Tamandua tetradactyla: one gene and its partners. The protein of the gene in region 1 interacts with the protein of each later gene in a pairwise test. Links are inferred from orthologs where the notes say so. Each region holds a gene or a part of one and is shown on either strand. Other genes may lie near its edges.

Region 1 (10,431 bases):
AGATGATTGTAAAATGATATAGCTTTCACAATGTGACTGTGTCATTTTGAAAACCTTGTGTCTGATACTCCTTTTATCTACCTTATCAACAGAGGAGTAAAACATATCGAATAAAAATAAATAATGGGGGAACAAATGTTAAATAAACTTAGATTGAAATGCTAGTGATCAATGAAATGGAGAGGTAAGGGGTATGGTACGCATGAATTTTTTTGTTGTCTTTTTATTTATTTTTTCTGAATTGATGCAAATGTTCTAAGAAATGATCATGATGATGAATATGCAACTACGTGATGATACTGTGAATCACTGATTATATATAGAATGGAATGATCATATGTTAAGAATGTTTGATTTTCTTTGTTGTAGTATTTTTTTTTTAAATTCAAAAGTTAATAAAAAAAAAATTTTTTTTTTTTAAATTAGAGCTAGAAACAAAGAAGCCCTTCTCAGGAATCATGTGTGTGAGCAGTGTGTTACTACATAGGCATTTGTAAAGGCTCATCAAAGTTCTGTATACATATTCTCTCGGTTTTGTCCTTGAAAACTTTATCAGAATCTGTAATGGGGGCCTTTTTTAGCTATTGACTGACTTGCCAAAAAGCACAAAATGTATTTGACTTGGCCCAATACACTATATGCTTTTCTTATGACTAGGGATCAAGTATCTCTTATCCATCTTACCGCCTGACAGCCACTTTAAGAAATTCATATTTGTAGAGTGCCCGTTGGGGATTTGGCTCTGTGTCTGATTCATTGGGAGTTAACATTTCAGAACTTCTCTGTGGAGGGGGATATATTTTGATTTAGAATAAATAAGAAACAAAGGAGATAGTTTCTCCAGCCCAACAGCAAAAGTAAAAAGAAGTCTGTTTCTCCTTTCCAGGAAAGCTTTTGGAGTGTCCCTGAGTTGATATTGTAGACTCTCTAGGAAGTTGGTTTCCCAGAGTAAAGAAATTCTGCTTTTAAATGGGTTCCATCCAACATTCTTCTTTACTAGTATTTTACCCATAAAGACTTTTATTTTTCCTTGGTAAAAATCCCACTGTATGTGTGCATAATAAACAGCAAAGGACGGTGAAAAAAAAAAAAAGCACAATTGAAAATGTCTGATATTTGCTTCAAAATAAGGGATGGTAAAAAGAAGAGGTGCAACTTGGAGGAAAGAAGATTGGCTACTGAAACTGGATGATGAGGTACTAAAGAGTTCGCTATACCCTTCCCTCTACTTTTGTTTAAGTTGAAATTTCCCATAATAAAAGTGTTTCATTTTGTTTTTTTAATACAAGATGCTCCATATACCTAGCCAACCTGTACTCTACCCAAACCTTCTGTTCCAACCTAATTTCCAAATGAGTCATCACGTTTGCTCGTGCTATATATTGCCCTGTTTCTAGGGGGTTCTGCCTAGCTCTACTTATCTAAAGCTTTCCTTTAAGGTCTAGTTTTATGACTACTGCAGTACATATTTCTCATTTTCCTTACCTATATCTCTCTCTCCTTATAGTAAACCTGTTTTGTCTCATCTATCCTAAGAGTATCAGCTCCCATATTACTTTTGTGGTTGACTTTCTCTTCAGTAAGGTCACATATTCCCTTCAGAATTCCAGATCCCTTCTGTGCAAAAGAATCCCAGATTTCTACCTCTTACATTTCCAATTATATGCTGGGCATCTTTAAGACAGAACCACATATTCAAAATATCCCAAAGCAAACATCACCTTTTCAATGAAATCAACTGTTGCCTAAGGTCCCAACTTATAAGTGATAGCTCTGCTCTCCAGCCTGGACACCTCATATTCATCTCAGACTGCCTTCCTCATTCTCTCCTTGGTCCAATTGATTGCCACATTCTATACATTCAAGCTTCAGGACATTATTTGACAATGTCTTCTCCTTTCCCATTCTCCAGAAAATCATTACCCTGCTAATGGTTCAGACTTCCATTACCTGCTTCTGGACTACGCTAAGGGCCCTCTAACTGGTTTTTCCACTTTCAGTCTCTCCTAGCAACCACTCACAAAGATATATATATATATATATATATATTTAGCTTATTATGCTAAAAAAATCTATAGTTCCCTACAGCTAAATATGTCCTCAGTCTTCCATTCATGTCCTGAATTAGCCTGAACTGTTAACTGGCTAACATCTATTAACTGTTCCTCCTTAATGTATGCCACGATATTGCATCAGCTTTATACCCTAAGAAAATTGCAAAAATGTACTAGACAGAATCTATAGTCATTGCAACAAATCACCTGTAAAATGTAAGAGCTCCTGGGCAAACACCTGGCTAAAACCCAAATACATGCATTACTACAGAGAACAAACCCCTAAGCAAAGGAGTCAGCAAGGAAGGCCACAAGGGGGGGGGGGGGGGGGGGCAAACATGCCAAGTTTTAAGAATACCCTGGGCAGCATGCTCCACAAACGTGTATCCACTGCTTAAAGGTATTAGCCACTAAAATGGACCCACTAATCCCCCTGCTGTTCCTAGGCTCTCCAAGCAAATTTCTGCCACTTACAGAGATTCTCATCAAGCTTACATAAAGTTTGATCATGCTATTTCTCAATTTTATCTTTTTGTATTTTTTAAGATTGGGCTTCAGGCCCTGACTCACATTAACCAACCACCTATGGGACCAAATTGTGAGCTTATATAAGCAGAAGGCCAGACCCTGAAAATTAAGGGGATCAAGGTACAACCAACCTGTGGAGAATCATCTGAATGATCAGGGTCCTGACCAGGAATATCCTAATTGCAGATTTTATCACACAGCAGCATTAATAAGTACACATATGAACACAAAAACTGCATCTCTCCATCACAGAATCTTCACAATGAATATTTCAACCCATAAAATGACATTTACAAGAATGCCTGGAGCAATAAGCCATTGTTCCAAGGCACATGTAAAACACAAATCAAAAATTTTAATTTTATATCTATCAAATGTAAATATGTAAATTAAGTCAATGTAAGATGAATTTAACCTAGAACCTAAGAAAGAAAGATTATTCACAAGTTAAGAACCCTCACTTCAAAAGTTCTCTCTGGTCATAAATATTTTCAAAGTAAAGGGTCAAACCCTTGTTTCTGACCTCTGCTATTTGGCTAATCTTTTATTCACAGAATATCAGAATTAGATCCATAGTAGCAATTATGTAGTCATGTAGTCTGAAGTGTTAACTGGTTAGGTTTATGCCGAATAGTGGCTCCTCCTTAATGCACTACACAAAATTATTACAGAATAAGCAGTCAGCCCTTTAACGCCAACACAAAACCAACGTTCTACAATAGTTCTTCAAAGCACTGGCATAGTCAGGACAAGTCCACAAAAAACAGCAGTAGCATCTAGGATCATCAATGATTTTCACTGAAGATTTCACACTGCTGTCTACAGGGTTGACAATTCTAGAGATCCATTCTACTGCGCATGTTTCTCCGTTTTTCCAGGTAGTAGCACTGGGTGATAAAAATTATTTACATATAAACTCTTCTCATATAGTTCTTCCTATCTAACCACTATCACTTTATTAGATGCACTAAGTTTGCTGAAATTGAAAAAGGGGAAAATATATCATCAAAAGAAGAGTGAGGAGGAACAGTGGAACAGTGGTGGGTTTCAGGAGGAGGATTATCAAATTTCTTCACATTATCCTGTGAAGAAAGAGGATTATTTCTTCACAGAGAAAAGGTCAACACAGTGCTTTTCGAAGATTAACAGTGTAAACCCACTGTATGCTTAGTGAGTCTGGCCCATGTACAAAAAGGCAGCAGTCAAGCTAAGTTCCTAATGAAAATTAATGAAAAAGATGTTCTTCTCACCAGCCAGTCACTCCACCCATTACAATCTGAGTGGCCACTGAGTATTTTTCTACCATAGGTCCGGAACTGTGGCCAAACACTCGATTCCACCAGTGATGTCTTCTTGCATACTCAGTTAAATCCAACACTTCGTAAGAGTCGTCATCACTTTCATATTCTTCAAAATACAAAATGGAAAAAATATTTTGAGTAAATCATGTCAGAAATGTCCTACGCATTTTTTTTAAAAAACCTGTTAACCATTCACTGTTACGTTAGGCCTATAGTTAAAAACGCCCAGGTGGAAAATGCTTAGTTTGTTAAACTCAAACCCTGAGCCTCGGGCCTCAAGAGTAAAAGGCCTAGTAATATCATTCCCATCTTCTTCCCGAAACCCCAGGGGCCGGTCTGGAGCCAAGGGACCGGGCCAGGTCAGAGTTAACACAGGAGTAAGGGGTCACCTCCTAAATTTCAGAAGAGTTAGAGCCAGAGCAGACTCCATTTTCATCATGGGGGGGTGGGGGGTGGCAGGGAGTGTATGGGTTGAGGGAGGGTCAAAGTTAGCAGTCGGGCGAGAAGAAATCACTTTAGGGTCAGACTAAAATAAAACGTTTGCAGACAGAGTTGAAAGAAAGGCAAGGGGTGGAGCAGTGTTGGAGGAGGGGGTTGCTTTCCGCCTGCCTTCCGCCGACCGGAGGGAGATGTCCACATAGGAGGGGGTGTTCAAAGGGGCGGCCTCAAAAAAAGAGCCCCAAGGATCCTGCGGGAGGGGATGAAAGAGCCGCCCTGAGAACAAGGTCGGGAGGTGTGAGCCGCGTCCCAGAAACTACTTCGGACCCGGGCTGCTCACCTTGGGAAGGGGGGTTCCGGGTCGCCATTATTCCGCCGGCGGCCGGTTCTGAGGGTGGTCCCCACCTGCCCTCCTCTCCCCTGTACTGTAACGGCCGCTCTAGGCCGAGGAAGAAGTCTATGGTCTCTTTTTTTCCTTCTCCGCCTCCTTCAGGCACGTTGTCTTGTCCCCGCCCCCTCCTCGCCAGCGCGGGGACTTCTGCGCAAGCGCAAGACGAGACTCAGGGGTAGGTGTGTGGGTAGAGTGGGGAAGAAAGGTAGGTCGAAGCGCAGTCCTGCGAGTGCTTGTGGGAGTTGTAGTCCGTTGCCCTCCACACCCCAGGCCCAATCGACCCCCCACCCTGGATTGAACATCTTTTTTTTTTTACTCTTGAATTGTGTTTCAAGTCTCCTCAAGATTTGGGGGCTGTCACATAGTGGTGAAAAGGGAAAACCATCTTTGCATTTTGAACGCTGTATCAGAATTCAAGCCCCTGAGGAAAAAGGCTTTTAAAAAGTGGTAAGAGAAGCCTTGTTTCAAACCACACTGCTTTAAGGAAGCAAGGGCTCACACGAACTGGCAGAAAATTTGTCTAATGCGCTGCTGCAGGAAATTGGAAACTTTTTTTCAGCGTCTGCTCCACACATTCTTTGCTAGGAGCCCTAGTGAGGCAGCCTGAGAACCATTTTAAAAATCATCATCATCATTACTATTATTTAAACCTGACAAAATAATGAGGTCAAGTTCTTCATCCCGAAGTCCCATGGCATTCTGTAGGATGAGGAACTCTTGATCACCAAGCAGATAAACAAAGTTCAGAGATAAACCAGCGCCCAAACATGAAGTTCAAGCGCATTCGCTGTACAGTTAAACTAAACAGCAACCAGCTCCCGAGTTAGTTTTAATGGAAAAACAAGGTATTCTGGTATAGACCAAATTACTTAAAATATTAACTTGCATGATTACACTTGGCTTTTCAAATCCCGGAGCTTTAAATGGAAGAGTTGGTTCTCTCAAATTCCTCAGCTTGCAGCTCCCAAAATATAATTCTAAGACTGTCTGGAGATGTTAGTGTTCTTTTAGAACTGCAAAAGACAGTTACTTTGTCTAAGACTCCACTTTTCAGAAGCAAAAAGACTTTAGGGGAAATGACTTGAGATCTCACTGAAATTAAAGTTATTTATTTTTTAGTTCATACAGTCCTTCCTCCCCATTGCCCACCCTCTCCTACTGAGGTGCTGACAAACAGAAATAACCACTGAAAGGAAAGGAGAAAACAAGAAAAAAGGAAAATATAAAGTGAAAGACCAAAAGGGAGGGTTGACTGGCCAATGAAATCCGAATAACGTGTTTAAATACTTCTAGCAATGTCAGCCAACTACAGAAAGAAGTCACTTTTCTGTCAAGGAAATGGCATTTAGAATCAACTGGCTATGAAGAAATGAGGGACAGAATGAAAACAAAACACTATTCTTAAGATGCCAATGAATAGACTTTATATGTATTATATGTATTTATATGTATTAAAAAATGACCCAAAAAATGGCTTAAAAATCAATCATTTCTCTAAAGAACTTAAGGCCTAGAAGGAAGTTTTTAATGCTTTACCATTTTATCTTGCAATGATACACCTTGCCTCACCTTAAGGAAGTTAGTTGTATAATGTATTGTTCTAATGTGGATTTTATTTTTTCTTTTCCAGTAGCAAAAGAGCTGTCATTTTGTTGGCTGAATGACAAGTGGTTTAATGTGTAAATTGTATATACAGACTTTCTGAAGAGCTGTGATCCACATGATGGGTCTCAAGGGGTTGATTTTTTTTTTTTTCATTTCCAATTTAAGAAGTGGAAGTAAATTTTCTTTTCAGTCAGAACTGATATTGGTGCTGGAGAGCCCCCAGGAGTTCTCAGAGAGGTAAAGACCTCAACCAGGAGCTGGTACCATGAGGGTTTTTTACTTAGTCACAGGAAATTATTCAAGGACCAGTCAGTGTATACAGCCAAAGAATCCGAGGACTAGTCAGTGTGTAAAGCCAAGAAGTTTAACACATGGTGTAAGTCCGTGGTCACAGGGGGTGAACGGGGTGGGGTGGGGGGGAGTGAACGTGGGTGTTCTCCAAAGGAGAAGGGCTCTGAGCTTGGGATTCCTGCATTATAAAGACTTGGAGAAGCCCTTCCCTTTCTGATTGTGCTAATAAGGGATTGATGAGCTGTACTTTTTTTTTTTTTAACTTTTTTTATTAATTAAAAAAAAATTAACAAACAAAACATTTTGAAATCATTCCATTCTACATATATAATCAGTAATTCTTAATATCATCACATAGTTGCATATTCATCATTTCTTAGTACATTTGCATCGATTTAGAAAAAGAAATAAAAAGACAACAGAAAAAGAAATAAAATGATAATAGAGAAAAAAAAACTATAAATACCATACCCCTTACCCCTCGCTTTCATTTACCACTATTTGAAACTGAATTTATTTTAACATTTGTTCCTCCTATTATTTATTTTTATTCCATATGTTCTACTCTTCTGTTGATATAGTTGCTAAAAGGAGCATCAGACATAAGGTTTTCACATTCACAGAATCCCATTGTGAAAGCTATATCATTGTTCAATCATCATCAAGAAACATGGCTACTGGAACACAGCTCTACATTTTCAGGCAGTTCCCTCCAGCCTTTCCATTACATCTTGGATAACAATTGATGTCTACTTAATGCGTAAGAATAACCTCCAGGATAACCTCTCAACTCTGTTGGGAATCTCTCAGCCATTGACACTTTGTCTCATTTTACTCTTCCCCCTTTTGGTCAAGAGGTTCTCTCAGTCTCTTGATGTTAATTCTCAGCTCATTCTAGGGTTTTTCTCAGTCCTTTGATGCTGAGTCTCAGGATGAGCTGTACTTTTCATTGGTTCTTTTCAGTGCCCTCCTAAATGAGGGCTAGGTATGCACAGGCCAAAAAGAACGTCTTACTATAAGGTCTTAGGGTCGCTTCCCCTACTCTCCTTTCCTATCTAACTGCCTCAATATCCTCTTATCTACAATTATACATCATAATTAGGGTAGTCCCCAACTTTTCACTATCTAGTGTTCCAAAAACTTATGAGTAATTTATTTGAAATTGAGACCATTTCCCATTTAATCCATAATGAAGCTGTAATGAAACAATTGACCCCTATTCGTTTTTGATTTCCACCTTTCCATAATGTCCTTGGAGACTTCATTTGTTAAAAACACTTTAATCAGAATTGAGAAAAACAAAATGCAAAAGTAAATAACAAACTACAGAACACATCACGCTCCCTGGACAATCTCAACTGTCACTCCCTGCTGAATGTCTGCATTTGGATGATCTGCAAATCCCAAACAATTCCACACTATCTTTGAAGCAACCCAAATGAAAAAAAAAAATGTCACAGTCACTTTTTATTTTTCCCTTCCCTTTTCTTTTACAGTAAAGCAGTGATTTCTTCTGTGCTTGCACTACCTAAGTTGTGTTCTCCAATCTCTCCTTGATGCTCTTCAAGTATTTAGATCACATCACCCTTTAGACCATTGCAGTGCCTCTCAACTGACTTCTTCATCCATTTTCTTGCCACTCCCCACTCCACTCCAACTAAAATCAATCTAATCTGCCACCAGATTTTTCCTTCTAAAACTTGAATCTGATCATTGCTTTATCTACTTGAGTACATGTAACAAACTGCCCATCAGTTAAAAGATCAAGTCTAAACTTCTTATGGCCTACCACAGGGGTTGGCAAACTTTTTTCTGTGCAATAGCAGATGGTAAATAATTTAGGCATTCTGGGCCACATATGGGTCTTAGTGGCATATTCTTCTTTGTCTTAGAAAAACAAAACAAAACAAAACATAAAGAAAAAATAATCCTTTTAAAATGTACAAACCGTTCAGTGTTCATGTACTTTACAGAAGCAGACCATGGGATGAACTTGGCTTATAGGTTATAATTTGCTGGCCCTTGGCATTTAGGTCCCTTCACATTTTGGACCCAAGTTACCTCTCTGGTCTCCTGCTGCAGATTGCCCCAAGGTTCCTCCTCTTCTAAGCTGACTGCAATTCCTAAGTTTTCTGAATGCACATTGCTTTTTCTAACCGCTGTGACTTGGTACATGCTCTTTCCTGTACCGAAACCAGTGGCTTCCTTCTCTGCCAGGGAAACACCCAGGCATGCTTTAAAACACATCTTAAATTTCTGGCCCCACACCCAATCAAGATGCTGAGTGAGGTGCTTCAGGGCTTCCTCCCCAACAGAAGATTTGAACAACCAGCAAGAACTGGCAGAAACATCTTTTCAAAGGTCCAGAAAAAACAGTTAGAGGGCTGCAGTAACAGGGTGAGTATGGAATCAAGAAAAGGCAACTTAAAAGCAGGAGGATTTCCTGATACCCCAACTGACCCCTTCCCCACCCCTCACCAGAGGTGTGGAGCCAGCTGGTGCTCCCCAGTGCAAATCCCTAGTCCCAGTTCCAGTGGAAGCAGAGCAACCCTCATTTACATACTGGGAACATATATGTCTCACCCAACCTGTCTGATAGTGCCTAAGGGTTCCAGAACTTGTCCAGTGTGTAGAAGGCAGCTCATGGAATGCTGCTACGAAATGCTGTGAGAGAGCAGTCAAGTCATGCTGCCTAGGGAAAGGGATTTCTGTCTCTAAGACATGTAGTGTGGTGTCCAGGACTATGAAGAAACTGTGTCCTAGGAAAAAGGGACAATTTTGTCTGTGTAAATGGGAAATTCCTAGGTCCACAAGCACATGCCTAAGACAAGATGCATACATAGAAAGGTTTAGGGAGACCCTTAGGCTTTAGCCTGGAGCTGTTGTCTAAACTCACTGTATTCATAAATTCTGAAACAGAGCTTTTCTGCACAGAGCAATCTGCAAAGACAAGGAAAGGTGTTTTCTTTTTTCTCATCCTCCTCCTCTTTCTTCTTCTTCTTCTTTTTTTTTTGGTCAGCTCCTGGTATTCAAAGAGAGCTCTGTCATAACAGTAGCTCGATGCAAGCTTAAGGAACAGATGCCTCAGTGTTTAAATTCCAGTGATAAGACATTAAAATATCAACATGTCCAAGTTTCAACAAAACATTGCAGAACATCCAAACAGTAAATAATGGCCCAGAGAAAGAAGAAAGTTAAAACATTAAAAATCATCAATGAAAAACTATCTTTCAAGAAAGTTATAATAAAGACACTTTTAAACAAATTTCACCATAGGAAATTCTTAAAGATGGATTCCATGCAGAAGGAAAATGATCTTGGATGCAAGGGGTAATAGTGAGCAGGGATACTGGTGAACACGTTTGGTAATCTAAGTAAACATTGATATATGTAAATGTAATACTATTGTAGGAAACAATGAAAAGGTAGAATTTAAAAACTGGACATAGTTTACACATTGGTAAATGATCATTACAGATGAAGAGTTCTAATGTACTTCAGTTTTTGAGGAAGGAGATAAAGATGCCTAGTAACTTTGGACATTATTAATTTCTACATTAAAATACCTAACATAAGAAGAAAGATTGAAGGTCAAAGGATGAAATATATATACTAGGGAAATAGGAAACAAAGAAAGCTTGTGATTTATATTTATAGCAGACAAAATAGACTTCATCATCAAAAGTTTAGAATTATTAAAAAAGTCCAGTTTACCAGGAAGATAAAAACATTTAAATTTGTATACATTTCATAACAAAGTTTGAAATATATAAAGCAAAATTGAAGTTACGTGAAAAAATGAACAATCTCAATAGTATAGAGA
Region 2 (11,317 bases), on another chromosome or scaffold:
ATGTCCCACGTAGACAGGGGGAGGGTGGTGAGTTTGCTTGACTACCAGCTGATTTTTGACAAGGGTGCCAAGTCCACTCAAGGGGGAAAGAATGGTTTCTTTAATAAATGGTTCTGGGAAAACTGGATATCTACATATAAAGGAATGAAAGTGGACCCCTACCTCACACCATCTACAAAAATTAACTCAAAACAGATCAATGACCTAGACATAAGAGCTAAAACTCTTAGAAGAAAACATAGGGAACATAGGGACCTTGTATTAGGCAATGGATTTTTAGACTTTACTCCAAAAGCACAAGCAACAAAACAAGAAAAATTAATTGTATTTCATCAAAATAAAAAACTTTTGTGCATCAAAGGACATTATCAAGAAAGTGAAAAGACAGCTTACAGAATGGGAGAAAATAGTTGGAAACCATATATCTGATGAGGGTTTAATATCCAAAATATATAAAAACTATTACAACTCAACAATAAAAAGACAACCCAATTTTAAAAGTGGGCAAACACAAAGCTAAATGTCAAAAAGCAGGAGATATGGGGGAGGGGATGGGATTCTTTGCAGAAGAAATGGAAATGTCCTCATATAGATTGTGGTGGTGAAGGCATGACTATGTGATTATACCAGGAACCACTGATTTTTCACTTAGGTTGGCTTGTATGATGTGTGAATAGAACTTTAAAAATGAATAGAGAGACACAAGTGCTGAAGAAAATGCGGAGAGAAATGTACCTATTCACTGTCGGTAGGGAGGCTGAGAGGTGCAGCCTATCCAGAGGGGCGTGTGGTAGCTCCACAGGAGGCTAGGGATAGGCTTGCCATATGATCCTGCAACTCTTTAGTTAGGTGTACTCTTGGAGGAGTGAGAGCAAAGCCATGAATGGACATTTGCACACTGGTGTTTATGGTAGCAGTGTTTGTGATTTGCAATTTAGGGTACATTTGAAGACTGGAAGGGCGAACTGTGGTGCGTTCATACAAGGGACTATTGTATGATGTAATGGCTGGAAGAAGCAATGAAGTTGTGAGGCTGGAACTTCGTGAATAAAGCTTGAGGACAGTAAGTTGAGTAAAATAAGCCAAAAAATGAAAAGACAAATATTATAATTCCTCACAAATATGGACTAATTATAGTGTACAAACTCTGAGAATTTAATTCGAGAGCACAGGTTATCATGGGAAGGCCTACTGTAATAGTTCCTCAATTGAAAGCTCTTATAGCAGTCACATCTATTTCAGAGTTATAACTGTTATTTCTAAATTCTGAGATGCTGAGCTCTTTGTGTAGTACCTGGTCATTCCATAGAACTTTGGGAATTTGTGTGACACTTGAGATTCAGAGTTAGAGTTCTGTGGCTGTGAACATCAGCAGTACCCTATACAGCAATTGTTAAAAATACTGAGAGGGCCATGGTGGCTCAGCAGGCAGAGTTCTTGCCTGCCATGCTGTAGACCCGGGTTCAGTTCCTGGTGCCTGCCCATGTTAAAAAAAAAAAAAAGAAAAAAAAATACTGAGGAAGTTATCAGATTTCAATTAGAGATATGAATGAAGCTGATCTGGGTAGGACTAAGGTAAATTAGACTCTACAGTAAAGGATAATATTGACCGTATTTTAAGAATTTCAACTTCTGTGTGAGGCTAAAGGAAAAGATATTTATTCAATGCAAAATTTATATTTTTGGTAGCATACTATCTATATGATCAGCTTATTTGAAAACCATAATTGCATGGCACCTTGAACAGGGAGTGAAATCTTGTTAGTTTGTACAGATTGGTGTGATGCCCCAATACAACCCAGAGTAAGCTGGGCAGAAGATTAAAAAGTATTTGCAAAGCCCCCTTGGGAGACTGGGGGAAAAGGTGGAAATATTAAACCTGATAGTTTCACAAGCATTAGAGACTGTCAGTTTGATGGGCCCAGGCCCTTGATCTTGGGACTTGCCCTTATGAAACTTATTCCTGCAAAGGAGAAGCTAAGCCTATTCATGATTATTCCTAAGAGTCACCCCCAGAGAACCTCTTTTGTTGCTCAGATATGGCCTCCCTCTAAGCCAATGCTGCAGATGAACTCACTGCCCTTCCCCTATATAGGAATGACTCCCAGGGATGAGCCCGGACCTGGTATCATGGGATTGAGAAAGCCTTCTTGACCAAAAGAAGGAAGAGAAATGAAACAAAATAAAGGCTGAGAGATTTCAAATAGAGTAAGAAGTATTTCTGGAGGTTATTCTTATACAATATATAGATATCCCTTTCTGTTTTTGGTGCATTGGAGTAGCTAGAGGGAAACACCTGAAACTGTTGAACTGTTATCCAGTAAGCCCTGATCCTTGAAGATGACTGAATAACTACAGAGCTTTTAAGGTGTGACTGTGAGTATGAAAACCTTGTTACTAAAACTCCCTTTATCCAGTGTATGGACAGACGAGTAAGAAAAAAAAAGACCAAAAAAATAAATGAACAATAGAGGGTATGGGGGTATGGGATGTTTTGGGTGTTCTTTTTCTTTTTATTCTTAATTTTGTTTTTGGATTAAAGTGTTCAAAAATCTATTGTAATGATGAATGCACAGCTTTACGATGATACTGTAAACCACTGATTGTATACTCTGGATGATTTTATCTCAATAAAAAAATCATTGACAAAAAAATGGGCAAACAACTTGCATAGTTATTTCTCCAAAGGAAATGGACAAATGGCCAATAAATACATGAAATGATGTTAGATTCTTTAGCCATTAGAGAAATGCAAATCAAAACCACAATGAAATACCAACTCACATCCACTAGAATGGCTATTATTTTAAAAAGGCAAAATAGCAAGTGTTCACAACGATATGGAGAAATAAGAATCTTCATATCTCATTGGTAGGAAAGTAAAATGGTGAAGCCACTTTAGAAAACTGATGGCTCTCCAAATAGTTAAACATAGAACTACCATATGACCCCACAACCCCATTTCTAAGTATATACCCAAAGAACTGAAAGCAGGGACTTGAACAGATATTTGTACAGCAATGTTCACAACAGCATTATTTACAATAGCTAAAAGGTCAACGTAACCCAAGTGTCAATCGACAGCTGGATGGATAAACACCATGTGGTATATACATATACTAGAATATTATTCAGCCATAAAATGTAATTAAGTTATGTTGTAAGCTATAACGTGGATGAACCTTGAGTGAAATAAGTCAGACACAAAAGGACAGATATTATGATTCAATTTAAATGAAATAACTAGAACATGCAAATCTATAGAGATAGAAAGTAGAGTACAGGCTACCAAGAATGAGGATTGGGGTGGTAGAAATGGGGAGTTAACGTATAATGGGTGCAGAGTTTCTGTTTGGTTATTTTTTTACCACAATTTATTAAAAGGAGAGAGAGAGAGCAAGAGAGAGGGAGCGAGCATAAGATTAAAGGGACAATGACAATTAAGTGTAATACATGATCCTGGACTGGATCTTATAAGGAAGGAGAAAATGCCACAAAGGACATTTTGAGACAATTCAAAAATTAGAATATAGGTTGTAAGCGTTCTATCAATGTTAAATTTCTTTAACTTAACTGTACTTAATGTGGGTTACTTAAGTGACTATCCTTGTTCTTAGGAAATAAACATGGAAGTATTCAGTGTTAAAGGAGAATGATATATGCAATGTGCTGTCAAATGTTTATACAACAGATAGAGAAATAGAGAGAGAGAGAGAACGATATAGCAAACGTGGCAAAATTTTCAAAGTTGGTAAATCTAGGTATCTGTGTGGGGGTATTTGGGAATTCTCTGTATTGTTTTTGTATTATTTTTGCAAACTGTAAGCTTGAATTTATTTCAAAATTAAAAGTCTAAAAAATAGGACATTTCTATTTGCAGACCAGCAAATAAACATAGGCATATTAAAAATAAATAAATACAAAAAATTTTTAAAATCAGCAGATCTCCTCATTCAGTCTCTTTTATTTCAGCAGGTATGTGATTAAGAGCTTCAGCAGGCAAGTAATTAAGAAAGAAAAAAAGATCTTTCTACACTTTATACAACATGATTCTTTGTGTATGATAATTTCTCTGATCTTACTCCCTGTAGATGGGTGGCTGACTTTTCTTGAGGCCGATGTATCAGTATACTTTTTCCAGAGATATGGAGACCTATAAAATAATTCTTTAACTTTCAAGACGACAGCACTAATCTCACATTGAAAAGTAATGCTCTAAGTATTTTGCACAGATCTGGGCTAAAGAGTTTCACAAGGAAGTTGAACTTTACCCCGTGCTGTTATAAAAGAAGATAAATTGCACAGAATCTTTTCAGAAAAATGTTACTTAAAGTGTAATTCTAACATAGGTTTTTCACTGATGCCCTAAGACCCTGAGGTTTAGAACAGATCAGGAGAAATAACCGCATTTCTAGGCCAGGACACAGTTCCCCTTTACTCACTGAGTTGATACGCGCGCGTGCGCGCACACACACACACACACACACACACACACACAAGTGAACCTTCACACACAAAAGCTAACCTTCTTTATTGTCCAAGTGCTAAAGTCCTTGATAACACATTGCTTATCAATCCATGCCAGAAAAACCGAAGCTGTAAGGAAGCGGAAAAGTTTGGCGTCTACAGACCGCGTTGGATCCCAGCCTTTCCCACCTACAGCCGCCATGGGCCTCAGTCTCCGTTTCCTTCCTAGTAAAGAGGGACGGGTTCCCAGCGGTGACTGAGCAAGCTAACCTATGCAAAGAGCCCGGGCGCGCACCAGGTCTCAGTCCGCATTAGCGTCTTTCTCACGTTAAAGCAGCAGGGGAGAGGCCGAGCCTCCGGAGCAGGCCGACGGGCGAGTCCGCAGCTGCCCCTGGCTGGAGATAACCGAGCCTGTTACCTGATTGCGTTGACTGGCGGGTTTCGGAGGCGAATCAGCGCCAGACGGCTGGGGAGCCGCGCGTACTCGACCATGTTTCCCCGTCGCTGAGGTGGCCTCGGTCGTCGCCGCTGGGAGAAGCCTCTTTGAAGGCGGCACCGGGTCGGCCCCGCGAGGAGGGGCGCCAGCTGAGCCAATGCGAGCCCCGCGCGGCTCGTGCGCCCGGCTCCGTCTCGCCAGCTGGCCAGCACCCTGGGCCTCGTGGCCCACCCTCAGACCAAGCCCTCTTCTCTCCCGGACCCGCCCACTCACAAGGACAGGAAGCGCTGTCCGAAGGCCTGTGGGGTCTACAAACGTTTGTGGTCCCTTTTTCTGTTTTGACTGCCATCCTTCTCCATATACGAAATAGAGCAAGGAGGACAGCGGTAAACCGGCTGGGACTGCGGCAAGTGGAGGTGTCAACTCCGGAGCCAAGAGAAACTGCCTTCTCACAAGACTCAGATTCACTGAACTGGTCAAGAAGCCCTCAGCATCATGTTGAGCGAAATAAGCCAAAAATTAAAGGACAAATATCGTGTGGTCTCACAAATATGAACTAATTATAATGAGCAAACTCTGGGAGTTAAAGTCTGAGAGCACATTTTACCAGGACATTGAAAAGGGATAGAGATTGGGCAAGGGAATCTCATGGGAATTCCCTTGCTAAGGAAATATAGAATGCTTAATAAGGTTGATTGTAAAGGTTCAGAAATGGATAGCACAATATTGTGTGATGGAAGCACAATACAGTGCTTGTAAATGAGAGTAACAAGCAGAGCGTGAGTATGGTTGAAAGATAAAGGCCGGGGTAATGTATGTCACCCGAAGGAAAGCTGGAGGATAAAAACTGGGACTGTATAACTTAATGAAACCTAGAGTGGACAATGACGGTGGTTAATTATAAAAAATAATAAAATTCTTACATGAACTAGAACAAGCGTACCTCACTATTACAAGATGTTAATAAGATGGGTAGTATACAGAAAAAAATAGTTAATGTAAACTAAGGTTTATAGTTAATAACATTATAATATTCTTTCATTAATTGTAACAAAGGCACTATACCCAAGCTAAATGCCAATAATGGGGGAATAAGGAATATGGGGTTTTTTTCCGGAAGCAATGAGAATGTTCTCATATTGATTGTGGTGGTGAATACATATTATACCAAGGGCCATTGATTGTACACTTAGAATGGATGGTATAGTGTGTGAATAAAACTGTTTAACTAAAAAATTTTTTTTTAATGTAAATGCTTTCATCAGTTTTCATCTTCATGATCCTTCTGGAGCAGATATCTGGGGCTCTGACAATGATGTGATATGATACCCACCTGAACACATAAGATACACACATTATGACCTAAATTAATGTGGTACTATCAACCAAACATTTACATCACACGGCAACCTAGTGAAGCCTTTGAGTTTTCTTGTCTGCCTAATGCTTCCCTTTTATCTTCTGCCATTCCTAAGGATTGTGGCTTCTAACACTTCATTCATTCCTCTATAAACTGAGTACCTACTGTACTGGTTTGAAACTGTTGTGTACCCCAGAAAAGCTATGTTCTTTAATCCTGGTTTAGTATTGTAGAGTGGGATCATTTTGATTAAGTTGTTTCCATGGAGATGTGAGACACCCAATTGTGGGTGGGACCTTTTGATTAGGTGGTTTCCATGGAGATGCATCTCCGCCCATTCAAGGTGGGCCTTAATCTGCTTACTGGAGTCCTTTAAGAAGGAATCATTTCGGAACAGCTTCAGAGCTAACGCGCACAGAGACCATTTGAAGATGCAGAAAGAAAATGCCCCAGGGTATCCAGAAGCCAAAGGACCAGCAGATACCCTAACCATTTGCCTTCCCAGCAGATACCCTAACCATTTGCCTTCCCAGCTGACAGAGGTATTCCAAGCCATTGGCCTTTCTTGAGTCAAGTTATCTTTCTCTGGATACCCTTAGCTTGGATATTTTTATGGCCTTTTAGAACTGTAAACTGGTAACTTAATACATTCCCTTTGTGAAAACCAACCCATTTCCAATATATTGCATTTTTGGCAGTATTAGCAAATGAAAACACCTACTATGAGCTAGGCCTAGCCTCAAGACTGTAAAAATAAACAAGGCACAACCCCTTCCCTCCAAAACTTTAGGCTAAAACAAGATTTCTCTAAGTGTGTTTGGTCCCACAGTCCCTCCAGTGGTCAGAAGGCAGCCTGGACGTTTCAGAGGAAAAAGCAATGAAATAATTTTGTTCACTGATGTTTCACAAATGTCAGCCATAATTAAGGATTTATCAGAGACATTCTTTTGCTTTTTGAAAAAAAAGTAGGTTCCAACTCTTAGCAAAGTAGTGATTGCCTTGTGGCCCTGGTAACAAATAGCAGTCAGACCCCATTCAATTCATCAACTGCCTCAGTGATCACCCCGTAAAAAGCCAGCCTATCAACAACAGTCTATCAATCCTTAAAAAAAAAATTAAATGTCATATTGGGAAGAAATGGTGCAACACCAAAAGCCCATATACAAAACAATATTCTTTTCTGTAGTATTTTCTTATTAAAATATCATTTGCTGGGTGGGCCACGGTGGCTCAGCAGGCAAGAATGCTCGCCTGCCACGCTGGAGGACCCGGGTTCGTTTCCCGGTGCCTGCCCATGTGAAAATATATATATATATATACATCATTTGCTGCACATGAAAATAATGGGTGATTTCAAACTGTTATCACAATATTAGTTTGGCTTACCTAGCACCACCTCCATGGAGCCTACTTTAATTCCCATATAGAAAACAATATAATCCTTTTTTCAACTAATATAATCTGAGCTACTGAATGGTGAGTACCTATCAATCTTTTTTTTTAATTTTATTTTATTAGAGAAGTTGTGGATTTACAGAACAATCATGCATGAAACACAGGATTCCTATACAGCACACCATCACCAACCCCTTGCATTGGTATGAAACATTTGATACAAGTGATGATAGCACATTTTTATAGCTGTTCTATTAATTATAGTCCATTGTTCAACTTAAGGTTTACTGTTTGGGTAGTGTAGTACCATGGATTTTTGTTAATATTTTTATTCTATTACCATAGATATGAACTAGCATTTCCCCTTTTAATCATATTCAGATATTTCAGTGCTGTTAATTGCATTAGCAATGTTGTGCTACCATTACTGACACCCATTATGAAAACATTTCCATCATTCCAGATAGGAACCCTGAACATTTTAAGCCTTAATTTCCCATTCCCTATTCCCATCCAATCCCCTGGTAAACTATATTCTAGCTTCTGACTTTATGAGTTTGCTTGTTCTAATTGTTTTATATCAGTAAAATCATACAATTTTTGGCCTTTTGTGTGTGGCTTATTTCACTTAACGTGATGTCTTCAAGATTCATCCATGTTGGGCAGTGCAATGGTGGCTCAGTGGCAGAATTCTTACCTGCCATGCCAGAGACCTGGGTTTGATTTCTAGAGCCTGCACATGCAAAACATAAAAAAAAATCATCTATGTTGTCTCATGCATCAGGACTTCATTGCTTTTCAGGAATGAATAATATTCTACTGTATGAATATTACTTATACATTCCATCAGTTGTTGGGCACTTGGGTTGTCTCCATCTTTAATAATGAATAATGCTGCCATGAACATTGGTGTGCAAATATCTGTTCAATTCTTTTGGGTATATGCTGAGTAGTGGGGTTCTGGGTCATATGGCAGTTCTATACTTAGCTTTCTGAGGAACCACTAAACTATTTTCCACAGCAGCTGTACCATTTTATATTGCCACCAGCAATTAATGAGTGTTCCTATTTGTCTGCATCCTCTCCAACACTTATTTTCTGTTTTTGGAATAGCAGTCTGTTCTAGTTTGCTAGCTGCCAGAATGCAATACAGCAGAGACAGATTGGCTTTCAATAAAAGGGGATCTATTTAGTTAACATACAGTTCTTCAGAGGAAAGGCAGCTAACTTTCAACTGAGATCCTTTCTTACGTGGGAAGGCACAGGGCAATCTCTGCTGGCCTTTTCTCCAGGCCTCTGGATTCCAACAACTTTCCCCAAGGTGATTCCTTTCTGCATCTCCAAAGGCCTGAGCTGAGCAGTGAGTGCTGAAATGAGGTATGCTGAGCTGCTCTGGCTGTGCTATGTTGAGCTCTCTCATTTAAGCACTGGCCAATAAAATCAAACATCATTCATTGCAGCGGGCATGCCTCCTAGCTGACTGCAGATGTAATCAGCAACAGATGAGGTTCACGTGCCATTGGCTCATGTCCACAGCAATAGAACTAGGCACCTTCACCTAGCCAAGTTGACACCTGAATTTAACTACCACACAGTCATTCTAATGGATGTAAAACGGGGGTCTCTCTTGTGGTTTAGATTTGCATCTCCCTGATGGTTAATAATATTGTTGTGCATCATTCAGCCATTGCTTTCTATTTGGCCATTTGTCATTTGTATATTTTCTTTGGAGAGATGTCTGTTCAAGTGTTTTTCCCATTTTTAAATTGGACTGTTTGTCTTTTTGTTGACATAGTTGAAGTATTTCTTTATATATTCAGGATATTAAACTTTTATTGGATATGTGGTTTCTAAATATTTTCCCTCACTGTGCAGGTTGTGTTTTTACTTTCCTAAAGTCCTTTGAGGAATAGAAGTTTTTTATTTTAATGAAATCCCATTTATTTGTTTTTTTTCTTTTATTGTGTGTGCTTTGGGTGTAAAGCCTATGAAACCATTGTCTAACACAAGGTCCTGAAGATGCTTCCCTAAATTTTCTTCTAGGAGTTTGATACTTCTAGCTCTTATATCAAGGTCTTTGTTCCATGTTCAGTTGATTTTTGTATATGGTGTGAGATAGTGTGTTGCTCCTTGATTTTATTTTGGTTTCTGTTTTTTTTGCAAATGGATCATTCCCCACACCATTTGTTGAACAGACAATTCTTTCCCAGTTGAGTGCTACTTGCTCCCTTGCCAAAATCAGTTGACCAGGGAGGTGCAAAGGTGGCTCAGTGGCAGAATCATTGCCTGCCATGCCAGAGATCCGGGTTCACATCATGAATCCTGACAATGCCTAAAAAAAAAAAAAAAAAGGGAAAAAAAATCAGTTGGCCATGCATGAGTGGACTGATTTCTGAGCTCTCAGTTCCATTGGTCTATATATCTGACCTTGTGCCAGTAACATTGCTGCTTTGATTGTAGTGTCTTTATGATAAGTTTAAGATCAAGAAGTGTGAGTCCAGATACAAAAACTCAAAAATGGACAGCACAATAATACCTAATTGTAAAGTAATCATGTTAAAACACTGAATGAAGCTGCATCTGAGCTATAGGTTTTTGTTTTGTTTTGTGTTGTTTTGTTTTGATTTTACTATTATTACTTTTATTTTTTTCTCTATATTAACATTCTATATCTTTTTCGGTTATGTTGCTAGTTCTTCTAAACCAATGCAAATGTACTAAGAAATGATGATCATGCATCTATGTGATGATGTTAAGAATTAATGATTGCATGTGTAGAATGGTATGATCTCTAAATGTTGGGTTAATTTCTTTTTTTCCGTTAATTAAAAAAAAAAAAAAAAGAGAAGGGATAATTGGAGATGAAGGGATACAGACTGTACAACGGGACTGGATATAAAAACTCAGAAATGGACAGCACAATACTACCCAATTGTAATGCAATTATGTTAAAACACTGAATGAAGCTGCATGTGAGGTATAGGTTTTTTGTTTTTGTTTTTTTTTGTTTTTTTTCTTTCTATTATTGTTTTAATTCTTATTCTGTTGTCTTTTTATTTCTTTTTCTAAATCGATGCAAATGTACTAAGAAATGATGAATATGCAACTATGTGATGTTATTAAGAATTACTGATTGTACATGTAGATTGGAATGATTTCTAATTGTTTTTTTAATTCTTTTTTTAATTAATTAAAAAAAAAGTGAAAAAAAAAACAAAACAAAACAAAACAAAACAAAACAAAACAAAAAAAAAAAAAAAAAAGAAGTGTGAGTCCTCTAACTTCATTCTTCTTTTTCAAGATGGCTTTAACTATTCAGGTCCCCTTACTCTTCCATCTGACTTTGATGATTGGCTTTTCCATTTCTGCAATGAACGTTGTTGGAATTTTTTTTCTTTTTTTGCATGGGCAGGCACCGGGAATCGAACCCAGGTCTCCAGCACAGCAGGCGAGAAGTCTACCTGTTGAGCCACTGTGGCCCGCCCGGTTGTTGGAATTTTTCTTGGGATTGCATTGAATCTGTACATTTCTTTGGGTAGTACTGACATTTTTCTAGTTTGCTAGCTGCCGCAATGCAATATATCAGAAACAAAATGGCTTTTAAAAAGGGGAATTTAGTAAGTTACTAGTTTCCAGTTCTAAGGCTGAGAAAATGTCCC
Region 3 (10,802 bases), on another chromosome or scaffold:
GACCAGACAGGAATAATGGTTAGCTGTCAGGGTAAATTTCCCAGGGTGTGAGGTAACCACTGGGTATTGGGGGTTTGGGGGTTGGAGAGCAATGGAAGGCAGGAAGTGGGAAGCTTTCCACTGGGCTTGGAATGTCTGAAGTACAGCCCAAGTTAGCTAAGTCTTTTTGCGTCATGAAAGGACTAAGTTGGTTATAATTCTTTTTATTTCTAAAAGCACTAATCAGCTTTGAAAGGGAACTTAGCCTTCACTCAGCCAGAAATTTTCCTGTAAGACCCAGACTGTTGGACATTGAGGAGGGTAAAGCAAATAAAGAAAGGTAGTTTTGATTAAGTCTTTCCTTGGGTCCTGCTCCCTTCTAGTCTGTTGGTGACTTGTCAGAGTTCATCAAAACAACTCTTAGGTTGAGGCCACAAATCCTTCTCTGGGCTGCTGGTCCTGGGTGTGTTGTCTCTGTCCTTTTCAGGTTTCTTATCTACTCAGCATTTTAATCCCTGCATAAATGTGGCAGGGATTAAATATGCTGCGATAATAACATATCCCTACATAAATGTTAAATCTCAGTAAATGTTGAAAATACTAATTCGATAGTCTCTATAACGTCTAACCCTGTGCTTGGAATTAAGTATGCAGCAGCAATCCATCAAAAGTGACACCACAGAAGTGAAATTACTCTAGGATGATTAATAACCCCCTGGGCTTGTTTCCTCTTGTACCCTCCTGGCTCCTCTAGCTAATGCACAAGCATAAGAGACACAGGTGAGTTTACTATTTATACAAGTTTATTGGCCTATCCCAGCTGGCAGGCCACCCCTACTGAACAGGGAGAGTGTTTGTCTCTTTTTTCAGTTGACAAGAAGAGCTTCAGCTTGTGCCCTAGAATGCCTGAAGCAGCTGAAGACTGGCCAGCACAGCCCCAATGCAGCAAAACCCGAGCATAAGTCCATGGACTCAACTCCACTTGAGTTCCTTGTCCTCCTCAGTCATGGCTGGCGTGTCGGTGACAAGGCCGGTGCCAATGGTCCGGTTGCCATCTCGGAGGGTGAAACGCTGGCCCTTTTCTAAGATCATTGGCTGCCGCAAGATGAGGGTGAGCTTCAGGTCCTCCCCAGGCATGGCAAGCTCCTGAAGGAAAAAGAGACAGGAATGAATATGGCTTTTGGGGTACCTTAACTGCTTCTGCCTACTATAGAGGTTCAGTTTCATGGGACAATGCAGCAGGTGATGTTGGGCAGATGCAAGGGCAGGAAAGCATAAAAAGGACCAGTGATCAGTATTCCCAAGGTTATGTTTTTGGAAAAACATTTTGGAAAAAAAAATTTTTTTTTTTTGGTTTAAATTATGGGCTATGTAGAAGTTGCAGGACTTCTGAGTCCCACATAATAAATAACAGGAACTTTTAATTTTCCTAGGGATAAATACTGGTAGAGTAAGCTTGCCTACTTCAGCCCAGGGTACACGGTCCAGACCCATACACCTCCACCCGAGGAAATCAAGACATCTTGGCATCTTTGGCCTCCCTGTAAACAAGGTAGAGCTGACTGGAAGAGGACCCCTTCCACTCCTTCACATCTCTCTACACCTGCATACCTTCTCTGGGGGCAGGATGACACGACAGGCCATGTCCCAAGTCAGGGAGAACATGACAGGAATGAAGTGAGACACAAAGGGCTTGTGGCGACCACCCTCCTCCTTGCTGAGAATGTAAACCTGGATAAGAAAGCAGGGTGAGGTAGAGCTGGGCCTGGCTGGAAGCACTGTCTCTGCAGGGGGCTGTTTGGCTCAGCCCTGCTCACCATCCCCTAGAGCCCTCACCTGTGCCTCCACCTTCTGGTGTGGCTGGATGGAACCTGGCTTGGCCATAACTAGGCCACGCCTCAGGTCCTCCCGCTTCAAGCCTCGGACCAAGGCCCCAAGGTTATCCCCTGCCTCTGCCCTCTCCAGGCTCTTGTGGAACATCTCAATGCCTAGGAGGAGAGAGAAAGGAGGGAGGAGAAAGAATAAAGGAGGAGGGTTTGGGGCAGAGGAAGAGCACAAGGGATGTGCCAGGGGAGAGGTCAGCATGGAGCCAGTCCCTGGGTGCTGAGGTTTCATTCCCATACCTGTCACCACAGTGCGAATGTTCTTGTTATGTCCCAGGAACTCACATTCATCCCCTTTTTTCAAAATGCCACGTTCCAGCGTACCTGTCACCACTGTGCCCCGGCCTGGGAGGGAACAGGAACGGATGTCAGGGACCCTGGGCCTGCCTCTTGGAGAGGGAGTGGTGAACGAGCCCAGTCCTCACCAGGGATAGAGTAAACCGATTCTATAGGCAGCAAGAAAGGCTTCTCCAGGTCCCGGGTGGGCACTGGAATGTAGGTGTCCACAGCATCCAGCAGCTTCTGTACCGACTTCAGCCCTAGCTCAGGGTCACGTTGCTGGGAGATGAAGGTGAAGGACTCTTGAAACCTCCATTCTGCTTTTACTTAGCACAAGTCTGCCCAGACTCGGGGCAGAGCCCCTGCCCATGCAGCCCCATCCTCCACCAGCAATCCCTGCTGTCCCCACCCTCACCTCAAGCGCACAGAGGGCAGAGCCTATGATGACTGGGGTCTCCTCCCCTTTGTAGCCAAACTCAGTGAGCAGTTCCCGGATCTCCAGCTCAACGAGTTCCACCATCTCAGAGTCCTGGACAGCATCTGCCTTGTTCACATACACCACAACGTGCTCTACCCCAATCTGGAGACAGGGACAAAGATAGGGCAAATGTCTGGAATGGCCCAACCCCTACTCATTCCACCCCCATATGAGCTCTGCATACCTGTTTTGCCAGTAATAAATGCTCTCGGGTCTGGGGCATGGGACCGTCATTGGCTGCCACCACCAGGATGCAACCATCAAGGGGGGCAGTGCCTGTGATCATATTCTGGGCGGAAGAAATGGAACCCTCAGCCTAGTAAAGTGACTTTCTCAGCTCCATATCCATCTGACCCAGCCATCTCACCACCCACTACCCACGGCCACAAACTCACACATCCACTATCAACCTCCTCCCACAGAACCCTAACTTTTATCCTGACAAGAAGCAGTTCTGGCCCTGCCGTGTGCAGCAACTCTCACCTTGACATAATCTGCGTGACCTGGGCAGTCTGTGTGGGCATAGTGGCGAGCTGCGGTACTATACTCCACGTGAGCCGCGTTGATTGTGATCCCGCGAGCTCGCTCCTCCGGTGCATTGTCAATTTCCTCATACTTCTTAAACTTGGCCCCACCTCCCTCCGCCAGAACTAACGGAGGGGGAAAGAAACCCCCTCTCAGCTCAAATTCTAGAACTGGAAGCAGGGCTCAGACCACGCCCCTAGGCCCCTCCCACCTAAACAAATAATAGTCTGGAAGAAAGATTCTCTCCGCCTCCCTCAAGTCTCGAACTCCTGCAGCAGAGGTAACTTTGGATCAGACAGGAACGTTAAAAGGCCCCAGGGGTCAGCCAAGGTAAAGCTTCCTCTTACAGAGTACTCCCACGGCGAGCGCGTCCCCCAAATGCATCGCAAAGTACTAAGTGAGCAGGGGACCTCTGTCTCCTGGATCCTCCATTCTACCGCCCGCCGGAGACCTGGCTTCTGGGGTCACACTAAACACCTCCAGCAGCCACTCTGGGCTCCAGGTCCCGCCAATAGATCGGGAGCTGCCACACCCCAAGCCCGCTCACTCTTGGTGATGGCCGCAGTCAGCGTGGTCTTGCCGTGGTCCACATGGCCGATGGTGCCCACGTTCACATGGGGCTTGTCGCGCACATAGCTCTTTTTGGCCTCCACAGCCAGGCCCCGGCACAAGACGGGCAGCGCCGGGGCCTTCGGCGGCCGGAACAAAACCTGCAGCACTGAGGTGGTGCCGGCACCGAGACCTGCCGGGGCAGAGGCTTGGCGTCAGAGCGCGGGTTCGAGCCCGGCCACCCCGACACCACCCACATGCCTCTCCCCCACCCCCATCCTGAGCCACCACCGCCTTTCCTGCTCTCTCACCACTGAAGCGGGGCGTCGCGCGCAGCAGGGTCGTAGCAGCCATTGTGGTCGTGCTTGCGCCTCGGGCACCGGACCGGAAGCCCGCTAGTGCCAAAAAGAAGGACACTTGGGGTTGGAGGCTATTTCCGGCAAGAATAGGGGCCGGCAGGGCGAGGCTGGGCGCCTCTAGCTACCAGTTTCTATGGTCGTTTCCGCCAACTTCCGGGCGCGGGACGGAGGACTTCTAAGAAGGCGCTGGTCGCTGGTGTCTGCACAATACACATGGGCCTCGCCGCCTGCGGGACGACGGAGTTTTCTCTGGTGCGCTCTGGGGCCCTCCCATGAGGCACCAGGGCCCTCCCACAATGCACCAGGGCCCCGAAGCATCGTGGGCATTGTAGTTTGTAGGCCGGCGGGTCGGGAGGGCACTTTGAGTCTGGGTTAGGTAAGGGCCCGCGGGGTCGGCAGCGTCCTGGCCTCCGAAAGGCAAAGACGGCCCTAGCGCGGACTGTTGAGGAACGTCCCGGGCCGGCGGAGAGAGGCCGCGAATCCCCTGGAGTCCGACTTGCTGCGCGCGGCTCGCGGGAGGCCGGGCGGCCTCCATGCCGCAGGTGGAGGTAGGGCCAGGCCCGGGGCGCCTTTTGGGCGTGGGATCAAGTGTAAGCCCTCTGTCCGCTAAACCTTATCCGTTAGATGGAAATAACAGTATCCACCTGAGAGGAAATGAGACGGGCCGAGATCAGGGACGGAATCCTCTGTTCTCCTGGTCGAATAGTCCCTGCCCCACAAATAGCTGCCCCCTGGCTCACAACTTCCTGGACTCTTTACTGCCCGACTTTACAGGTCACAGTCCCCAAGACATTCCTGTAAACCATCAGCAGCCCAGGGAGAAACTCTCCGATCGTCGCCCCGCCACCACCACTACCGCCACCTCCCGACTCCCGCCTCAATTTTATAAATGAGGGTGAAGGACCAACCTAGGGGGGCGTTTAACGGCAGACTGAATCTTGTTCTAGGCTTTATCCCCATCACCTAACGCGGGGCGGGGCATGCAATGAGTGCTCAATAAATGCGTTGACTGAATGAATGAGTAATAACTTTTAACTTTCACATCCATCGTTTCATCGCAGCTTCCCAACATTACTCCAAGACAATAATAGCAGCTACTTAAACCCGATTAAGTTTCTGAAACTCACTAGATCCTGTGACTATGTTGACTGGCTTCCTTACCTGGAGATTATGATTCAGAGGGACTGGGCACTATCAGGGAAACTATATTTATAACACACACACCCTCCCTTTATTAAGCACAGAGGAGTTTCGACAACTATGAACTACAGCTTTTTAGGTATCAGGTGTTGTGCAGATGCTTCGTATTGGTACACAATTACTGCTTCCAGTGCTACCCTGTATAGTAGGATCTGTTCTTTCTCCCATTTTACAGGTGAGAAAACTGAGGATCAGGGAGGTTAAGGAACCTAATGCAGCAAAACTCCAAAACATAGCACTAAACCAATGTACAGTACTATCACAGAACTATAATTTTATGGATGGTTCAGATAAACCAAGAGACCAGCCAACACCGCTTTCCTCCTGGTCCTCCAAACTATCACCTTTTCTTAGAAAGGGCTGGTACAGTGTAAAACTGTTTTCTTTGTTCCTACCCTTTACCTCTGTCACTCTACTCTTGGAAATTATCCTAAGATTTTTGTGATCACTAGTGGGTTATGAATTTTTTGGGGGGTGGTATGTGAACTAATGGATTCTCTTTTAATGGTGTTTGTGTGTGTGTATTGTTTTAAAAAAAAGGAAAAACCTGGCACAAGTAAATGCTGAGTTTCAAAAGATCAGTCAATTTAAAAAGTATTCGGTAAATAATATTATGGGTGGCAAAAATTTTTGAAGGGGGTGCCTTTGAATGAAGTTTCAGAAGCACAGGGCTAAGAGTCCAAAGGAAGAAAAAAATATTATAGAGCTGTTAACTACAACATCTTTTATAACAGTGAATGGATCAGTCGGAAATCTTAATTTACAGGTAACAGAATTTATATTGGCTGGTTTAAGCAGAAGAGGGATTTGTTAAAGAGTACTGGGCAAGTGATTAAATAAATAAATAAATAAATAAATAAATAAATGAATAAATAAAAAGTTCTGGGCAGGGATGGGGAGGGCTGGATAAATAGCTGCTGAACTGACCTGAAAAGAAAACTGCTGCTGCTACCACTGTCTCCAGATACTAAATGCCAGGACTTAGACTTGTCTGCTACTGCTCGCGGCACTGAAACCACTTCTGCATCAAGAAAGTGACCTCCCTCCACCCTGCCCCAAAGCCAGACAGATTCAAAGTCTCACGTGGATGTGCCTGATTGTGGAAGCCTTGATCATGTAAGTGTTCTTGTATCAGAGGAGGCTGAGAGAGATATTGTCAACTTTGATGTTGGGGAAGCAGGACTGATAGGGAATTTCCCTAGAGGTATAAGAAAGTCTCTTCAAAAGAGACTTTCCACAGAAAGTTAAACATAGAATTACTATATGACCTGACAATTTCACTCCTAGGATATACCCCCAAAAAACTGAAAGCAGGAACTCAGACAAATACTCTTATATCTGTGTTCTTAGCAGCATTAATCACAACAACAAAAAGGCAGAAACAACACAGGTGTCCATCAACAAATAAATGGTTAAACATAATGTGGTCTATCCATACCATGGAATATTATTTAGCCAGAAAAAAGGAATGAAGTTCTGATATATGCTATAATATGGATGAACCCTGAAAATATTATGCTAAGTGAAATAAGCCAGGCACAGAAGGACAAAAAAGTGTATGATTCCACTTACATGAAATATATAAAGAAAAAAAGTAGATTAGGGGTTACCAGCGGCTAGAGGGAGGAATGAACGCGGGATTACTGCTTAATGGGTATAGGGTTTCTGCTTGGGGTGATGGAAAAGTTTTGGTAATGGATGCTGGTAATGGTAGCACAACATTGTAAATGTTATTAGTGCCACTGACTTGTATACCTGAAAATGATTAAAAAGGCAAATTTTATATATATATATATATATATATATATATATAGTACCACAATTAAAGAAAAAGAAAGATGCCCAGCCATGCCTGTGACAAATACAATGAAAGAGTAGAATGATCACAAATGTCCAGTATGTAGATATGGTAGCATTAATTGTGACATATCCGCTAGATGGAGCAGGCTCAGAGTTGCAGAGATGGAGCCAGGTACCTGTAAAAATGCTTGTGAACAACATAAAATGAACCAGGGAGGAACGGCTCCATGGATGGGAGAAGGCAGGGGATAAAGAGATTAGGACAAAGGAAGTTGAAAACAATTGTGATTTCGGCAGGCTGTGAATCTCCTTGGAGGAGGAGAGAGATTTTCTCTTTTAAACATTTTTGTTTTTGTCATTACAGTTAAAGAAAGAAGGGTTCTTTGTACAGAATCTTTAACTCTTAAAAAAGGTGCTCTTGAAATCAAAGGGCTTCTGGGTTCCTCCACCCCCGCAGCAGGCCATTCATTCTGCTCTATGGCAGACATTTTAGCTCCAAATTAGCAGCAATTTTCTCATCTCCCTGCAGGCAGGGCCCTGATTTTGTTCATCAAAACAAAAGGCCTGGTCTGGCCTGGTCTGGCTGCCCTTTTCCCAGCTCCAGGAATAAATCCTGACAGGTCTAATACAATTCCGCTGGTCCTGGAATCCCCTGGTCCTTGCCAGGGCATTTGTTTAGGGTTGAGTATATGACTCCTCTGGGGCCAATAATTGGTAAGAGGAGATCTGTTTGAGGAAACTTCCAGAAAAGAATTCCTCACTTTAAAGAAGGAAACACTGGAAGCGATGGACCTCTTTCTGACTCCACATGTGGCTGGTTCTGGCAGGGAGCGGGAAACACTGTAGCCTTCTTGCTCCCAGTTGGATGACAAGGCCAGAACCCAGAGGAGGCCAAAGCATAGAGGATCCTAGAAGGCTGGATTCCTTGTGGTAGGAGATGATGACTGTCTTTATGGTTTAAGCCAGAATGCTTCAGAGTTGTCTGTTATTTGTAGCCCATTACAGCCTGACAGACACTCTTACAGCAGTTGGTACACTGAGACATATGTCCTGGTTTTGCTTGTTTGGGAATACGTTGTGACTTGAGCAGGGTGGGGGCTGGGCTTCACAAATCTCTCCTCCCCTGTACCTGGCTAAACAGTTGAACTGTTAGTGAGCTTTCTCAGCTGAAGGGTGCTGCCACTGTGGTGCTCACCATTTACAGTGTCCAAAATAGTACTCTTTTTTCTCTCCCACCCCCTCATCCCTTACATATGTCAATAAACAGAACCACCATTTCCCTTGCCCTGTTCACCTAGCCCATTATCCAGCCCTGCTGGTTCTCCAGAATATACCCCAAATGTGGCCACTCCTCAAGTAGGCCCTGGGGGTCTACTTGGTGGCATTGTTGGTCCAGGTTACCTCAAGAGCTTTCTGGTGGGTCTCCCAGCTATTATTCCTATTCCTAATACCTGTCAAATCCATCATCCACACAGTAGCCAGATCAAGCTTTTAAAAATATGCATCAGCAAAAAATTCTCACAGAGATAATCTTACCCTCAAAACAATCTTTTGAATTATGTGTTCTTCTTAACTTTATTTTACAGTGAGTTTAAGTGACTTGTCCTGGGGCCCAGACCTAGTTTAATTTTTCTGTCACTAAATCATGCACCATCACACTATTGATTATTCTGAGCTTGTGGCAACCCAAAACTTTATCCTACTTGTCTCAGTGTTTAACCATGTCATCCACATTTTATATTTGTGCGGTCATTGGAGTTCAGTAATGTATATATTTTTCTTTCAAAAAGCATTAAAAATTTTCTAGTAAGCAGCTACAATTCTGCTTGGAGTTTGGTTTACTTTAATAAATAAAACATATGGTCCCTGAAAAAATAATTTATCAGAAATTAATATTCCCTTATTAACTCCTGTGGCACTTAGAATAACATCCAAACTTCTACTTTAAATGGACAATTGCATGGTAGTTTAATTATATCCCAATAAAACTATTTTTTTAAAAAAAATCATCTCTTTGGCCCACAAGGCCTGCCTGATCTGGCCCCCTGCCTACTCTTTGACTCTCTTGTGATATGACTTTCCTCTCCCTTGCTCTCTCCCAGCCACACTGCCTTCCTTCCCTGCAAATGTCCTGCAGTTGTTCCTATCTTGGGGTCTTTGCAGATGTTTTTCCCTGTCCCTGTAACATTCTTCACTGCAGCTTTCTTCATGGTTTATTCCCTGTCATCATTCGGGTCCCACCTCAGATGTCACCTCCTCTAGCTAAAGCAGCCCCTAAGTCACCTTACCAATTATCCTCTTCAAGTTTCTTATCTCAGTTTACTTGTTTATTTGTTTCTCTCTCACCAGCTCATGACAGTCAAAGCTTATTATTATTATTTTTTTTACTCTAAGAATAGTACCTAACACTTAGGTGAGCAATAAGCATTGGTTTAAGGAATTGTTTCTTGAATGGATTATTTAGGTTGAGGATGTATTATAGGTTTATGAAGTTTCCTGTTTTCAGTGGAAAGCAAATTTTGGGTTCACATTCATTTTCCAAATAAAAGGTGAGTAGCTGTAACTTTTTGGGCTTCTGCTTATTATCTATAAGATGGGGGCAGAGTGAAGAAGTTGAACTGTATGATGTCTAAGATTTCTTGGGAATGAGAACTGGGCTGGCCCAGCAACACAGTGGCAAATCGAGGACTAGGACCCAGAGCTTTGTCCTTGATGTCTCTTAGCAAACCCTCATTGGAAACTCATCCTTCACTCCTCTCTTGCTCACCAGCCAGCCTTGCAATGCCTCCTCATTCTGGACATCCCCTTTGAATGCCAACTCCACTGCTCTGATCTGGTCAGACTGGCATCAGCCCTCTCTTGGACTGCTACACCAACTGCCTCTGCCTCTAGGCCTAAACTCCATTCTCTAAAAGCAGTGCTAAGAGACTGAGACCAAGTTCAGGTAGGATTGTTTGAGCCATCTGCATCCTGGTCCCAGATGCCCTTCCAAACTGCAATCTGAGCTCTGATCACACTTGTCATCAGATGTGACTGGGGAGGTCCCAGTTGGAAATACTTAACAAATGTTACACAAAAGCTACTAAGTGAAAAGCACTCGAGAGATGGCATAGGTGGGTCCGCCTAAAGGAGGCCACACTTCGGAGCCTGAAAATGGAGGAAGGCTAAACTGCCCATCTTGGCAGAAGGGAAAGGAAGGATGTGTGTAGGCTCAGAGGCAAGCCCGAGTGAAGCAGAAGTATTTTCGTTCTCTCAGAAAGTCCTAATTGAACAGGGTATGATTTAGTGGGGCAGGAAGTCCAGGCCAAAGCACCAAGGCTGAATTTGATGTCCCAGAAATGAAGATGAAATAGGAGAAATCCCCATCTCTTAGGGATGAAGGAGAGTCAAGATGACTCCCCAAAAGATCGCATGAGCAACCACGCCACCCTGGGTCAGAGACCCTGGTTTTTCTTCAAAGAGCCACCTTCTGCCATGTTCAGCCCATGGAGTTTGACTGGAGCTAAGCTCAGCCCATCTCTGATGATGGAACCACGATTTAGAGATTATCAGTCAGCATAACTCATCCCTCATGGTCACAAGTGATTGGCCCAGGGATTGTCAGTGGGTGACCCAAGCCAAGGTTATAAGACTCAATCCTGTTTCATTCTGCTAGAGTTGTTAAAACTTGGTGCAATTTAAGTGTGGACCTTGTCTTGCTTGAGAATGAAGACAGTCCAGAGAAAAGTAATGTTAAGAGACCTAGACCAA

The links.
Region 2: the proteins of FUNDC1 (region 1) and EHHADH interact in binary tests that used the Homo sapiens proteins (3 or more experiments, as listed by UniProt). The two-hybrid records come from large-scale screens. The link is inferred for Tamandua tetradactyla from reciprocal best matches to the Homo sapiens genes FUNDC1 and EHHADH.
Region 3: the proteins of FUNDC1 (region 1) and TUFM interact in binary tests that used the Homo sapiens proteins (3 or more experiments, as listed by UniProt). The two-hybrid records come from large-scale screens. The link is inferred for Tamandua tetradactyla from reciprocal best matches to the Homo sapiens genes FUNDC1 and TUFM.

The regions. Positions count from the first base shown.
Region 1 is NC_135353.1:126,930,043-126,940,473, reverse strand, and holds the start of FUNDC1 (FUN14 domain-containing protein 1), read right to left. Parts: upstream 4,829-10,431; 5' UTR 4,690-4,828; coding exon 4,662-4,689; intron 3,990-4,661; coding exon 3,833-3,989; intron 1-3,832. UniProt on the Homo sapiens protein: Integral mitochondrial outer-membrane protein that mediates the formation of mitochondria-associated endoplasmic reticulum membranes (MAMs).
Region 2 is NC_135336.1:3,926,854-3,938,170, forward strand, and holds the start of EHHADH (peroxisomal bifunctional enzyme), read right to left. Parts: upstream 5,029-11,317; 5' UTR 4,960-5,028; coding exon 4,886-4,959; intron 1-4,885. UniProt on the Homo sapiens protein: Peroxisomal trifunctional enzyme possessing 2-enoyl-CoA hydratase, 3-hydroxyacyl-CoA dehydrogenase, and delta 3, delta 2-enoyl-CoA isomerase activities. Catalyzes two of the four reactions of the long chain fatty acids peroxisomal beta-oxidation pathway.
Region 3 is NC_135349.1:25,024,874-25,035,675, forward strand, and holds TUFM (elongation factor Tu, mitochondrial), read right to left. Parts: upstream 4,315-10,802; 5' UTR 4,048-4,314; coding exon 4,005-4,047; intron 3,887-4,004; coding exon 3,692-3,886; intron 3,270-3,691; coding exon 3,103-3,269; intron 2,909-3,102; coding exon 2,804-2,908; intron 2,722-2,803; coding exon 2,557-2,721; intron 2,421-2,556; coding exon 2,288-2,420; intron 2,208-2,287; coding exon 2,103-2,207; intron 1,968-2,102; coding exon 1,816-1,967; intron 1,711-1,815; coding exon 1,591-1,710; intron 1,126-1,590; coding exon 952-1,125; 3' UTR 765-951; downstream 1-764. UniProt on the Homo sapiens protein: GTP hydrolase that promotes the GTP-dependent binding of aminoacyl-tRNA to the A-site of ribosomes during protein biosynthesis. Also plays a role in the regulation of autophagy and innate immunity.